3 linked regions of the Oryzias latipes genome follow. The protein of the gene in region 1 purifies or fractionates together with the protein of each later gene. This does not show direct contact. Links are inferred from orthologs where the notes say so. Each region holds a gene or a part of one and is shown in the gene's direction. Other genes may lie near its edges. The genes, in order: hdac5, prkd1 and F-box-like/WD repeat-containing protein TBL1X.

The links.
Region 2: the proteins of hdac5 (region 1) and prkd1 purify together in Homo sapiens (affinity purification with western blotting; 4 studies listed by BioGRID, with this or other methods). This does not show direct contact. The link is inferred for Oryzias latipes from reciprocal best matches to the Homo sapiens genes HDAC5 and PRKD1.
Region 3: the proteins of hdac5 (region 1) and F-box-like/WD repeat-containing protein TBL1X purify together in Homo sapiens (affinity purification with mass spectrometry; 3 studies listed by BioGRID and IntAct, with this or other methods). This does not show direct contact. The link is inferred for Oryzias latipes from reciprocal best matches to the Homo sapiens genes HDAC5 and TBL1X.

The regions. Positions count from the first base shown.
Region 1 is NC_019866.2:23,880,783-23,885,607, forward strand, and holds the start of hdac5 (histone deacetylase 5), read left to right. Parts: upstream 1-1,726; 5' UTR 1,727-2,872; coding exon 2,873-2,987; intron 2,988-4,825. UniProt on the Homo sapiens protein: Responsible for the deacetylation of lysine residues on the N-terminal part of the core histones (H2A, H2B, H3 and H4).
Region 2 is NC_019880.2:2,744,821-2,749,545, forward strand, and holds part of prkd1 (serine/threonine-protein kinase D1), read left to right. Parts: intron 1-822; coding exon 823-921; intron 922-2,045; coding exon 2,046-2,206; intron 2,207-2,319; coding exon 2,320-2,426; intron 2,427-4,210; coding exon 4,211-4,296; intron 4,297-4,725.
Region 3 is NC_019879.2:24,117,168-24,121,992, reverse strand, and holds the end of F-box-like/WD repeat-containing protein TBL1X, read left to right. Parts: intron 1-164; coding exon 165-286; intron 287-418; coding exon 419-493; intron 494-567; coding exon 568-695; intron 696-2,079; coding exon 2,080-2,245; intron 2,246-2,324; coding exon 2,325-2,426; intron 2,427-2,532; coding exon 2,533-2,559; 3' UTR 2,560-4,539; downstream 4,540-4,825. UniProt on the Homo sapiens protein: F-box-like protein involved in the recruitment of the ubiquitin/19S proteasome complex to nuclear receptor-regulated transcription units. Plays an essential role in transcription activation mediated by nuclear receptors.

The DNA.
Region 1 (4,825 bases):
AAGTAAAGTGAGTTTAGTTGAGTTAATAAAAGCAAAATAGAACAAAAAAAGACTGCATAGATGTTTATTTTATGGTGTAAAGTTGGTCCTTTTAACATGGGAGTCACTAAGTGCTTCCTTTTGAAACCAGCCTCCGGTGGTCATTTGCGGAGCTGCAGCCTTTGCCACTTCCTGGTTGGCTTTATATTTAAGAATGAAAGTTGTGGATCCGTATTTCTCTTCTGTTTGGGTTGGATCAGTGGACCCAATGCACAAAGCACGTGACTGCAGGTAAATGTCTGTAGCGTGCACGCTCATGGTAAATCTATGCTCAAAGAACACCTGCAAACGTGAGTTATTTTTGAATCAAACTTTATCAGATCTGGTACACAAAGAACCGCGACAAAACATTCCCTCAACCACAAAGTGACGCATCTGCAGGATCTGCCTGGAGCTCCTGTTTGCAGCTGTGAGCAGTCAGACGGCTTTTTTAGATTCTGTGCCGCCTCCTCTCCTTTGACCGGGACGTTTTCCAGAGAGAGGAAGAGGAGGTCAGAGGAAGAGGAGGTGTGTGGATTTTTACTGCATTCAGACGTAGCAGCAGTTTTAAGAGTGGAGTAGGATGATGCTTGTGACACCTGCTGGTGTCCTGGAAAGTAAGGAATCTGAAAATCTGCAGGAAAATGACTGGAAGGGTAATTCTAGCCAAGTAAAATCAGTTTTTAATGAAATGGAGAATTAGAAGGTCTCTCAAAGCTTCATGCAGCTGGAGGTCCTTCAGATCTTCGTCCCACTGACTAGCTGACAGTCTATAATGCGGTTGTCATGGTTACAGTTATAGTACACAAACGCAGCAGTGTAACTCCAGGGGTGGATGCGTCTGGAATAGAAATGCAGAGATGAGTCATCCGCTGCAGTACACACACACACACACACACACACACACACACACACACGCATGCATGCATGCATGCATGCCTACACAAAAACACACACATATACATCAGAGCGGTTGCTTTGTGTCTCCACCTTCAGACTGGGAGGTTGTAGGTTCAAATCCTTGGTTAGATTATTAAAAATCTGGTTTTCGTTTTCGGCCGTGACTGCAGCTCAATGCTTCCCCCCAAGACACACCCGGGTCTGTGACAACTCGACCCGAACGCACACAAATGCATGCATGCACACCTGTTTGACGTGTGGGACACTGTTTTAAAGTCTCACTCTGATCAGCTTTTGATCTGTTTTTCAAAGTGTTTGTTTTTTTTAAATTATGATGATGATGTATTTAGCCAAAATAAAAAAAAAAAAAACAGTTTTTGTTTTGGGTTTTTAGGACATAGTTTGTGCAGAGCCGCAGGAGTTTAACAGAAATTCACCTCTGAGTCGTGGAGCGTCCAGTTCTGATCCAGATTCCAGCTCAGACGAGGAAAAACAAACACGTTCATGGATCTGTTTGTCTGCAGGCGGATGCATCAGAATGGAGCGGAGCAGGGAGCTTATGGTTTCCAACAGCCTTTTCTTATTCTGCTCACAATGATTTGAATAAAGAAAAACTCGAAACCAGAATGTTTCTACATCATCAGGAAAATGCCACAAGAAGACGTTAAAAACATGGGCTTAATGCTGTGTGTGTTTGAGACGATGACATGTTTGACCATCAGGTAAACTGAATTCTGGATGTGGTTCTGACAGTCTGGACTTGAAGTTGTTGGATGTTTGACGGTCGTCTTCTCAGGGAGGTTCAGAAGTGTCGGTTCTCCTTGGTTCTGCGTCAAACCCTCCCCGTGGAACATCTGTCAGCCCTGCTCCTCCAGACCCTGTCTTCCGGGTTTTGATTGGACCAGGTGTGTATGTTAGTGTTTGTTCTGGTGAGTCTCGGCAGACCCATGGCATTCGTGGAGCCCCGCCCACTCCGCTTGGATTGGTAGAGGATCTTGTAGAGATGCGGGGCAGAAAACCCTCCGCCCCCACGTCTCAGTCACACCCCAGCGCTGCAGGGTTTTTGTGTGCTCGCTGTGTCTCTCTCTCTCTCTCTTCCCTGGTCTATTTTTGTCTTTGGCTCCTCCCCCTCACTAACGAGCTATTTTAAAATTCAACCCCCGCATCCCCACAATGCCACAGCAGCCAAGAAGTAAAAGAGTACGTCTTCTGACACTCTGAAATCAGAAGGTTTGTTGTCGGCGTCCCTCCTCCCTCCCTCCCTGTGCTTCATTCAGCTCCCCCCCCCCGTCAGTGAGGGTGGTGCTGAACCGCCCGCAGCTCCTGGTTGCAGTCGGAGCTTCTCTGTCGGAGCGGCGGCTGGAGGATGGAGGGCTGTTGCTGAAGTCCCACTCGTCTCCCTCTCCTGTCATTCTCCCAGCTCTTTGTTCTAATTTTGGAAACATGGAACCTCGGAGAGCGCTCTCCCAAAGCTATTTTCGTCCTTGCTCCTCCTCCTCCTCTCCCCCTTCTCCTCCTCTCCCCCTTGTTTTTCGGGAGAACAGGACTCTCTAGCTCCGTTTCTTGGTCGCGCGGCAGAGAGTCCGTCTTTGCTGCTGCCGGTTGGGAATTTTTTTTGCTTGTTTGTGGAACTGCAACTTTCCTCCTGCGGCTGAAGCGGCTTCCTGAACGCACCGCTGCAGGTCCGCCTCTCAGGAGCCAGATTTGTGCCAGGATCAGGGTGATCCATGCTCTTACCTCAGAGAGGACTTCCTGGAAGCGCGGGATAGGAGGATTTGTCTCAGGTGATGGTGACCGGCGCCAGAGCCTGCGGCTTGGGAGCTGTCACAGCGTTGCAGGCTGCTCAGTCCCAAGTCGGCGTGATGGGGTCTCTGTGAAGGGGTGCTTCCTGAACTGTAGCAGCGGCTCTTGTCCTGGCACGCGGCTGCAGCCGCCCGTGTCAGGACTGTGCGCCATGTTGCAGACCATCTATGAGACGGATTCTTGCTTTTCCTCTGCAGACGGCCGCCAGCAGCCTCTGCAGCTCCTGAGTGGCAAACAGGGCTCCAGCGCAGCCATGCCCATCGCTGGTGAGTCATCTGTGGGGAAGCGAGGAGGGGAGGGGGTGTTAATAAATAATTTAGGCTGTCTGTAAGAGAAGAAACCCTTTTTCTTTGTGTCCATGGAGGACGGGCTGGCGCTGGAGTGCAGGGAAAGTTTCTGGTTGAAGTGAGCGGGACTCATGAGGGAGGCTGCAGCTGCAGATGGAGGTCAGGGCTGCTGGTCGGTGGGGCGGAGAACCAGCTTCAGGTGGTGGAGTCTGCAGGAATGCAGCATGTTTTTGGATGCACCAGCATGTCAGTGTGGGGAGGAGTTTGAAATCAGACAACAGACCGACCGGCTGTTTGTTTGTAAACAACAGTGGGGGGAGGCGGGGTTCGATCTGGATCTGTTTGATCTTCTGGAAAGGAAAGGGAAAGTATGAAATCAGGAAGGGAGGAAGGTCAGATTCAGTCTGATGCTCCATGCCAGGAGTCACCGACCCTCTTCCTCGTCGGCCACCGCCACGTTTGTTTTGCATCTTCAGGCTCACCTGATCAGGTGAGCCTGAAGATGCAAAACAAACGTGGCGGCTGACAGGGCTGGTAAACCCTGATCCACGCCAAAGCTTGGTGCTTCCTCCGCTGTGTTGATGAGGACAGGGTCTTCTTCACTTCACTAGTTTTCTTTTGTGCAGTAGCGTTTGGCGTCACGGTCTCTGTGTGTGTCTTGGGTCTGGAAAGGGACCGGGTTGTTATTCCTTTGTGTTTGGATCTCTGATTGGTTCCTAGAAAACTCAAATGGTGGTTTGCATGTTGGGAACCGCCTGTTGGTATCAACTGGTGGTCTGTGGCTCCTCCCACTGCACCATCAGCACCTCTGCAGGTTTTTTTTATCCTCAACGAGATGAGTTGACATCCTTTCTTTGTGCGTTTTTCCCCCCTTTTGTGCAAATGTTACATTAGATATACCCAGTGAGCCGAATCAGGTTGGAACATTTGCAGTGCATCTCACTGGGTTTCCGTGTTTCTGCTGGTTGTGTGGCTCCTTGAAACATCCATGCTTGTTAACTGGTGGTTTGTCAGTAAAATACATTGGATTAAAGGTTCAAAGTTGTTGTGAAAAACTGGAGCTTTAAAGGGTACAAACAACAGGAAGCATTTAGAGATGCAGGATATTCTGACGAAGACAGCGGGGGTCTCTGGAGCGTCGAAGGCCCCTCAGACTTCTTCTACGGTCACAATCAGTCCAGCGGGGGTCACAAAGGTCGAGTCACAGTTCCGTGACTCGTCTCTGAACTTGTGCAATGACAGAAGAGGTTCATCTTTGTCATTAGCAGTTGTGGATGATCTGGATGAAGTTCCTGCAGAGGCCAACAGGATTCTCAGCTGTGGAAAGTCTCTTCTTCAGGGTGAAGTGCAGCTGCATCAAACGTCCTTCGTGGTGAATCCTGCTCTCATGCCTCTTATGCCTTATTGTTGAGGGTCTTACAGGTGGGGCGGGACTGCTGCTCTGTCAGAGGAGCTGCTGCTCGGAGGGGTCTGGTCGGCACATACATTATTGGTCCATCAGACACTTGATGAAGACTTTAATTCTGAAAAATGAAATAGAAAAATCAAAAGCTGCATTACAGATTCCATTCTTTTGTTAAATTTGATATTTATTTCTTATTAGTTCTTTAAATCCATAGTTAGTTTGGGTAGAAAACAATTTGATCAGATAAAGTAAATCCTTAATTTGCTTTACATCACTAGTTATGAGAAACCTCTTTTTGATTTCTCTACAAAAATGGTTTTAGATGGAAAAATGAAGAAAGGAAATTAATTTTAATAGAATCGGAAGATGAGCTTTTTAAGACCAAACCTAACGAATTTATAATTAACTTTAA
Region 2 (4,725 bases), on another chromosome or scaffold:
TTCTTACTGGCTAAATCTTCATTTGTGACTGAAAGTAAAAACAAGTCATCTGTAAAATTGGGTCACACCTGTGTGGTTGTGTCACCTTTAGCACTCTGGAGAAAGTGTCCTTCTCAATACAAGTTAAAAAATATGAATTTGTTACAAGGGAAACAAAACTGCGAATAGAGCATGTAAAATTTCCAAGATTTCTTTGGATAAGCTGTGATGTTCTGGCCTTTTAGGGCCAAACTAAACCTTGATATCAATGATGAACATTTGGATGTATTGCTCTGTCAATTGAAAATATTATAACTTAAATAAGGATTCCTTAAAATGCTTGAGTCTTTTTAAAATATGAATATTTTTACAATCCCCCCCCCCCCCCAAATTGCAGATATATTCTGTTTTAAGTGCTATAACAATTTAACTAGCCTTATTTTTAAACCACAATTGTTTTAAGATAAAAACATAATTAAAGTTATACATTTGAAGATAAATTGGTTTTAAAAATTATTGGTAAATTATGGGTCAAAAATACTTTTCCAGTTTCCATAAATCAAGACTGACAGTCACCATCAGAAATAAAACTTCTGCTTAAAAATAACGTAAAACTTGTCGTTTTAAATAAAGTATTTTTAAAAATGGAATGACTTAAAATATTGAAGATTTATTGTCCTAAAAGAAGTCGTTACATCTTTTTAAAAAGTTACTAATAAGTAAGTTTAGTCTCAATTCAATACCAACGTGATCTTTAAACTAGAAACCTGACCAAAACACTTGTTGAGATGTTGTGTTTTTGCACATCGACACAGCTTGTGTATTTTTCTGTTTCACTGTCAGATTCTGGTGGCTCTGCGTCATCTCCACTTCAAGAACATCGTTCACTGTGACCTGAAACCTGAAAACGTCCTCCTGGCTTCAGCTGACTCTTTCCCACAGGTGTGAAGTCTTTGTGTGTTTCTGTCAATGCCAAACTGAGTGTGATGTTGTGTTGGGTGGGGATCATTTATCGTCATTTAAGACCATTTGTGTCGGAAGTTGCTCAACTGAAAAATACCAAAACAAATTAAATAAAACTAGAACTCAATACTATTGCCTTGAAAGTAAAAGGCAACATTTTAAGCAGAAGTTTGGCTTAAGATGGAAATGACAGATTAGAAAACATGTACGTAATAACAGGTTCTTCAGTGAGAAATTAATCGGTTAAATACCTGTGTGCCAGGTGAAGGAACAAGCTGAAGATCATGATAGGTAAAGGAGGTAAAAAACTGCATTTCAGTGTAAAACCCCACATTTCAACTCTGGACAAGCCATTGGGTCATGTTTAGCCGATATCTCAGCTATTTATTTATTTTTTCATTTATGAATTTTTATTTCTATCTTGTTAATTCTAGTTTTATGGATGCTTTGCTTTTTTGTAAATATTTATTACTTATCTATTAATATTCTTTTTTTATTTTATGATTTTTTTAAATATTTTGGGTGTGGCTATTTTTTGTGAATACTATTAATTTCTATTTTTAATATTAATTTTTTCTATTTTTTGGCTGCTGATTTTTTTTTGTTAATAATTATTTTATTTCTTTATTGCTCTATATATATTATTTCAAATTTTAAATGCGTTGGCTGCTGTTATAATTTTTTCAAATTTTTATTCAATTTCTTTCTTTATTTTGTTTTTCTATTTTAAAAAGTTTTTTGGGCTATAGTTAATTGCTGTTGCCCAAAATGAACAAACAAAAAGTCTAAATGTATAAGAAAATTGCTTTGGGGTTTTCCAAGTTTAAACATTTTATTTTATTTTATTTTTGAGCCTTTATTTATCCAGGGAAGACAGATTAAGAACAGTATTCTTATTTTTTCACTGTGCCCAGCAAAATGCAAGACTTTTAGAGAAAGGGAGAGAAATGGAGTAACAAGAAATGGACAAAAACATTAGCAACAAGGCAAGAAAGTCTAAAACTGCTTTACAGTTGTAGTGCACTTATTAATTCATCCCAAAAACTAGGAGAGTTGGAGATGGAAGGCATCTGAGGTGTGGTCTCTCTGTGGTTCTGCTGCAGGTGAAGCTTTGTGATTTCGGGTTTGCTCGAATCATCGGTGAGAAGTCGTTCAGACGCTCTGTGGTCGGAACGCCGGCGTATCTGGCTCCAGAGGTCCTGAGGAACAAAGGTTATAACCGTTCTCTGGACATGTGGTCGGTTGGAGTCATCATCTACGTGAGGTTAGAGATTCCACAACTTTGGGCCAGCAAAAGTTTCTCCGTAACTCACTCATGATGATATGTTTCCTGATCATAAGGGTTGTTTTAAAGTGGTTTGTATTTCTGGTTGTTAGTCTGAGTGGGACGTTCCCCTTCAACGAGGATGAAGACATCAATGATCAGATCCAGAATGCTGCTTTTATGTATCCTCCTCATCCCTGGAAGAAAGTCTCACAGGACGGTATGTAATGATGTGTCAAATCGGGTTTGAGAAGTCCTTCTCTACAAGAAATCCTGTGATTTTTGTTCCTTTTTAAGCATTTTTTAGGTTGTTTTTGTTCCCCGGAAATGCCATTGAATTCCCTCCTTGCTTCTTTAGAGCAATTCTCTGCAGCAGAGTGACTCATGTTGATGTCTCTAAATGTGTCTGCAAGGTGTGTTGACTAAAATCATCCCGTTGACTAATAATAAGCCTGACTCACTCAGTCAGTCCTCAGCCTCGTCCCCAAAGCGCTTTTCCATCCACCTCCTCATTTGCTTGAAGTGAGTTGAGCTGCTGTTTAAAAAATAAATGCGAGGACTCGCTTTGCCACGGGGAAGCTAAATGCCAGAGAATAAACCCTCAGCGTGTGGAGAGATCTCCATTTGCAAATATCCGGCTTTTAAAGGAGCGTCCTCTGCCCACAAGCCAACATGATTCCAATTTGTCAGTGGAGATAAAAAGCAGAGCTTGAAGTTTTGAAAAAAGGACTTTTATGTAATGTCATGTTGAAGAACTTTTTTTTTTATCTGAAGAAAATATATTTCAACTGAGCAAATATGCTCAACTTTGTTGGATTTATGTGTACTCTGCATAAAAAGAGATTATAAATGTGAGAATTAGGACAGAACGTTTACAAAAACCACAACCAGTCACAAAAACCTGAAAAAACATCTTCATCACTCATAAACTGGCAGATCTGTACCTCTTTGTGATCCACTGCTGAAGGCAGTCCATGCTAGCTTTGAGAGGTTGAACAACATTCTTTGCAAGAAGAAGAAGCTCCAGGTTCGGATCAAAGTACCATGAGGATAGCCAGATGTTTGATCCTCTGATATGTTCCAACTTTGCCATTGGGTCAAATCAGAGAAGGCTGGAAAGCAAGGAACCTGACTGGTGGTACAGAGATTTGTCCTGTATTCAGGTCAAATACTTTTGAAGTCAAATGAACACAACAAAGGATGGAGAAGCATCAGTCAGTAGTTTACTCCTCAATCTGGAAGAGATCGTTTGCATTCAGAGGGACCCTTGAGGAATTGGCGCCCAGATGAGTTATGGTACCTACTTTATTTAAGCTGTATGGGCAGTGCCGGTTTTTGGGTTGTCTAGGTCCATGGACGTTAGTAGAGAGGAGCATCTGCGTCTTGAAGGAAGCGCAGGTGTGTCTTCAGTTTCCTTGAGGCTCGTACGGCCACCTCAAAGAACGTCATGAAAATGGAACGTACCACAGTCAAGTGTATGTATCGACAAGTATTTGTTAGGATAGGGGATTGATGTACAGGTGGTGCTGTCGTGTTCTTATGCTACATTCTAGCTGTCAGTAACACATAGGGTGTGCACATGATATGCAAGTGATCGTAGGATGCCTGTAGGATGTCCACATAAACTACAATCTGATTGTCTAATGTCTAACGCTGGCGTGTCACCTACTTCACCCTTATTTAGCCTTACATGTTGTGTTAGTGTTTGCAACGACCTGTCGCCTTCTCTCTATGGGCTCACTGATCCGTTTAAGAATTTGATATTTCATAAGGGACACCTGCGTAACCCGAACAGGTTTGCTCCAGCACCGTATCCATCGGTAAGGACAGTTGTGACTAGGGGTTTACATACACGACGACGAAGCAAGGTGATGGAGGCGAATGATTCGCTGTGGCGCCCCTTCAAGGGAGCACCCAAATGCAAATGAGATGAAGGCAATAGCTGTAAGAAATTAACAGGTTTCATATAATTTTCATAGTTTGTTTTTTTTATTTTTCATGCAGCAATTGATCTGATCAACAACCTTCTGCAAGTGAAGATGAGGAAGAGGTACAGCGTCGACAAGACCCTCAGTCACCCCTGGTTACAGGTCAGACTTTCATCTTGGAGCTTTGATTGTTTTTATTAAGTTTGTTGACATGCAAATCTCCAACAAGGCTTCAACTCTACTGTCCTATAAGTATTTACGCCCCGTCCTCTTTAGTAGGTCCACCTTGCTAGTATCAGGTTGGACCCTCTTTTTAAGAACTGCCTTAATCATTGGTGGCATCAATTCAACAAGGTACTGGATACATTCCCTAGAGATTTGGTCCATACTGACATGACAGCATCACACAGTTGTTGCAGATTTGTTGGCTGCACATCCATGATGCCTATCTCCCGTTCCACCACATCCCAAAGGTGATCTGTTGGGTGGAGATCTGGTGACTGTGGAGGCCATTTGACTCCAGAGAACTCATTGTCATGATTAAGAAACCAGTCTGAGATGATTCCAGCTTTATGACATGGCACATTATCA
Region 3 (4,825 bases), on another chromosome or scaffold:
TTAAAACCTTAAAAACCAAGCTGGAAAAACTCATCTAAAGGAGTAAAGTTTTAGCCTCTGCTCTGCTTTCAGTCTATTTCCTGTTAGCATCATTTACCAGAATAAAAGCCTTTGTTTAGTTGGGTGTTGTCGTGAGTCCTGACGGCGTGTGAATGCTTCCGCAGCTCCGGCGCTGGATGTGGACTGGCAGAACAACACCACCTTTGCCTCCTGCAGCACAGACATGTGCATCCACGTGTGCCGCCTGGGCAGCGACCGGCCCCTCAAGACCTTCCAGGGCCACACGGTGAGCGCGTCCTCCGCCCCCCCCCCCCCCCCCCCCCCCCCCCACACACACACACACACACACACACCCTGACCTCGTTTCAGTCCAGGCTGCCGCAGCCCCTCACCTAACCAGTGCCGCCGCGTTTTTCAGAATGAAGTCAACGCCATCAAGTGGGATCCATCGGGTATGCTGCTGGCCTCCTGCTCAGACGACATGACCTTAAAGGTGAGAGGGGTCCACACGGATGTGAGGCGCTGAAAGTTGAATACGGCGGCTTATTTTCATAATGTCGCACGCAGATTTGGAGCATGAAACAGGATTCCTGCGTCCACGACCTCCAGGCTCACAGTAAAGAAATCTACACTATTAAGTGGAGTCCCACAGGGCCCAGCACAAATAATCCCAACTCCAACATCATGCTCGCCAGGTAGGAAACCTGACCTGTAATGCAGAGTTACTCAGCTTTTGGTAGTCTGGGTTCTGCTGTCGGAGCAGACTGTGCTGAGGCGCATGTTAATGTGTTTGGACTGAAACCCCAGATTTACTGCTTGGCCCGCATCTTGACCCAGATGTGCTCACACATGTCAGCGATCCAATGCAAATGCCATAAGGTTTTACCGCCCATCCCAACAACCCAGCATGCCTGACTGCATTTCATGCGGAGGGAAAAGTGTCTTTGCTCGAGCAGAAATCAACAATGTGTTGAAACGCTTCTAGAATTCCTTCAGTGAGGGCTTTTCCAAAGTAGAGCTTTTTCCTTTTAGCTTTGATTTGTTGTTCCGCTGAGATTTTGAACCCATTTTATTTCTTAGTGGTGAAGAAACTGTTCTGAAGAAGAACTTTAAAGTCTTCAAAATTACAAAGAGAGTTCCTGGATTCTTTTTTTTGATGAAATATTACAGACCTCTCATCTTTAAATAGGGTTATTTTTGGCAGAATCGGTGACTGACTAATAGTTTTTTACCCCTCCAAATGTGAGAGAGGGTTACTGATAAAGCTTATGGTTATAAACGATGAACAGAAGGTGTGGTCATGTGACTTTTTGGTTGGTTTGGGTTTACTGGTGGTGAAATTCAGCCCTTTTGGTTGCTGCCATCTTTGTACTCCAACTTGAGACTTTTGTTGAAAATGGAAAAAAAGGTGAAAACAAGCCTGGAAAAAGGCAAAGTAAGGTGTTTGGAAAGCTGAGAATGTCTGTCAAAACCCATCGTTCAATTAAAGCTAAAATGGGTTAATAAATAATCAACCATTGTGCTGTTGTCATGGATACAAGATTTTTCACAAAGGGTGGAAAACAATTTTCAAACCTGTTCTTAAACATTGTTTGCTTTTGTTTCTCACTGGAACAAAAGTTGATTGTAAATGTGCAGATCAAGCCCCCTAGTGGTCACAGAGTGAACTGCCCTGCCCTGTACTGAAAGAGCTTCAACACAGAAGTTAAATATATCATTCATTCATTCATCTTCTGCTGTTTTATCCCTTTTGGGGTCACGGGGCTGCTGGAGCCTATCCCAGCCACTTTTGGGCGAAGGCAGGGGACACCCTGGACAGGTTGCCAGTCTGTCGCAGGGTCACACAAATCACACGCGCATGCACACTCGCAATTTACAGTAACCAATTAACCTATGAAGCATGTTTTTGGATGGTGGGAGGAAGACCCCGGAGAGAACCCACGCATTCACGGGGGGTGAGGCAAGAGTGCTAACCCACTGTGCCACCGTGCAGCCCAATAAATATATGGTTGAACTTATTGAGTGAGGCTGAAATAGGAGGAAGACGCTGTGATCTCATTGACACCTCCCCCCACACAGCGCGTCCTTTGACTCCACGGTGCGGCTGTGGGACGTGGAGCGCGGCGTGTGCATCCACACGCTGACCAAACACCGCGAGCCCGTTTACAGCGTGGCGTTCAGCCCCGACGGCAAGCACCTGGCCAGCGGCTCCTTCGACAAGTGTGTTCATATCTGGAACACCATGGTAAGGGGCCCCCTGTGGTTTCATTCGTTTAGCGGACACTTCTTCAGGTTGTTCAGGGAGTTTGTTTGCGCCTCTGCAGACGGGAGCTCTGGTGCACAGCTACAGGGGGACCGGGGGCATCTTCGAGGTGTGCTGGAACAGCACTGGAGATAAAGTGGGTGCCAGTGCTTCAGACGGCTCGGTAAGCCATTCCTGTTGACCCTGATTATAGTCTCTTAAGTGGGTATTTGTTGCCTCAGTGGCCTAAAATATACAGTTATTGCAACCATTATCTTTTTCAATTTCAGGTTTGTGTTCTTGACCTGCGAAAATAGCTGACCTGAGACTTAAACGGATCCTCGAATGTGCAGAAAATTGCCTTCTCCTGACGTCAACAAACACCCCCTCCTTTGTCTGGAAGGGCCGTAAAGGTGGACTCCAATGAAACCCTCACAGGTGTAGACCCAGATGCTGCCAGCGGCTTGAACAGCAGCTGAGTTCAATGCAGCTTGTTAACGCTTGTTTTCTAATAAGTCTGAGGCAAGATGGAAACTGGCTCAGAAATCCCCAAAAAGTGGCCTTGGCTCCCCGGGTGCGTCCGAGTATTAACAGGTTCCTGATGACGACGTGCGGCGCTCGCTGCGGGTCCAGCTGTTGTGGAGCTGCGAGGGTGGAAACGCAAAGATGAGGCGGGTTTTCTGAAGGAAGGAGTGGTAACAAGAGCCAGGTGTCGGGACTGTGCGGAAGGAAGGCTGCGGGGTTTACGATTCCTCCGAGGAGGCGTTACTTAAACGTCGACGTGAATTAACCACCAACGGGGTGGGCGTGGCTGACGCCCGGCTCCCAGGCGGCGCTGCTGTCCCCTGACGAGGTGCTCGACGACTCCTGCGTGGAGGAGTCCGTCATCAGAATGGCTGCTGCCGGTGTTTTGGGATGTTCTTGAATGTCGCCGCTGCCTGGTGGTTCTTAGCTTCATCATGTGACCTGAGATGGAAAAAAAAAAAGACGTGGAAAAGGTGTGAACAGTGTGGCTTAAAGAGTCTAACTCCCTTTTTTTTGGATGTAAATTTCAAGAATGTAAAGAAAAAAATGTAAATTAGATTAATACACAGACTTATATACTGTGTATATATATGTTTATATACAGTACACTTTATTGCCATCTATAGGGGGTCTTTACGGCTGAAGCTGTCGCATCTTTTTTTTATCAAAGTGCATGTCTCAGTTTCTGTCAGTGCAGTCTTTCTGAACTCTGCCATCCTATCAGCTGTTACGTTTTCTGTAGAATCAGTTAGAAATGGTATCATGCAGTCGGCCCACACAACACCTGCATCCATGGCGTAAACGGTGCAGGAGATGATGTTTTTTTAAAACTTTTAATGGCTTTAAAGTTTGTGTGCAGACGGAACACCGCGGAGCGATCAAACCCCCAACCCCCAGAGAGTTCTTGCAGCTTAATCTGCATCACTGTGTTTCCTGTTTGGCACTTTTTCCTCGTCAGGCTGCTGAGCTGTTAGATTCCATCGCAGCCAGAAAGTGGCGTTTATGCAAAAAAAAAAAAAAAAGATAAAAGTTGACTTTATGGGTTTTAGCTGATCGGAAGGCCTGAACTGCGAAGCCAGAAGACCTCAGGTTCAAGCCTGATGTTCCATCACCGCCAGTCTAAGCCGTCTTCCTGTCCTCTGAGCATCAGGATGATGAGGAAAACTTCGTCTTCAAATCTTCACTTCAACGGCGTCCACATTCTGCAGCTGCAGCAGCCCCAACATGTAGTTAGAGAAACGCAGCTCAGGATTCATGATTGTAAACAAAAGAACGGCCTCCACTGAAGCTCCAGAGGAAAGCGTCTGCGCAGACTCGGCTTCGCAGCTCAGGCCTGCGGGTGCAGCTCTGCAGACACTATAAACCACCTCCACTTCATTTGCCTTTTTCTAGGTCCCTCATCTTCTGCCAGAGCAACATGAAGTGCACTTTTTGTATTAGTGGATGCTGCAAATTTTCAATGAAAGTGAAGGTCCAATGTTTAAACTTTGCCTTTTTTCCCCCCGCCCCGCCCCTCCTCTCCATCTCAAATGATGGCGTTCTAATTGGTGTTCATCGATTTCTCACATTTTGTATTTTTCATTTGCTGAAGGCCTTTATTGTCTGTGTCAGACTGATAATTGGGCTGCGGGTCGGTGGGACTTTCCCAGCGAGCGGAGAAGCCCGGTTATGGGACGGGTGCTGTGGCAGTGACACCCGCCCCCGCTGTCACCTGTTTCCAGGCAAAACTTTGAAGTCATTCAGTGTCTCAAATAAATGACTCTATTTTTATATCAGAGAGCTGCTGCCTTTTGATTTCTGGATTATTATTTTTGCACTCAACAGCAAATTTACAAGGCTTTTATTTTGACACAAAAGGTTTAATACAAGAATACAAGATGGGACAAAAACATCACCTCAGTTCAACAAACAAAACTAGTGTTTACAAGGTGAAGAGCAAAAGTGCATTTTCCAAAACAAATGGATCTCATTGACAGGAAAACGTAAATGTCAGAAACGAAGGACGATGTCACGCTTTCTTTCTGCGCCTATTCTGTCAAATAGTTGACATTTAAAACA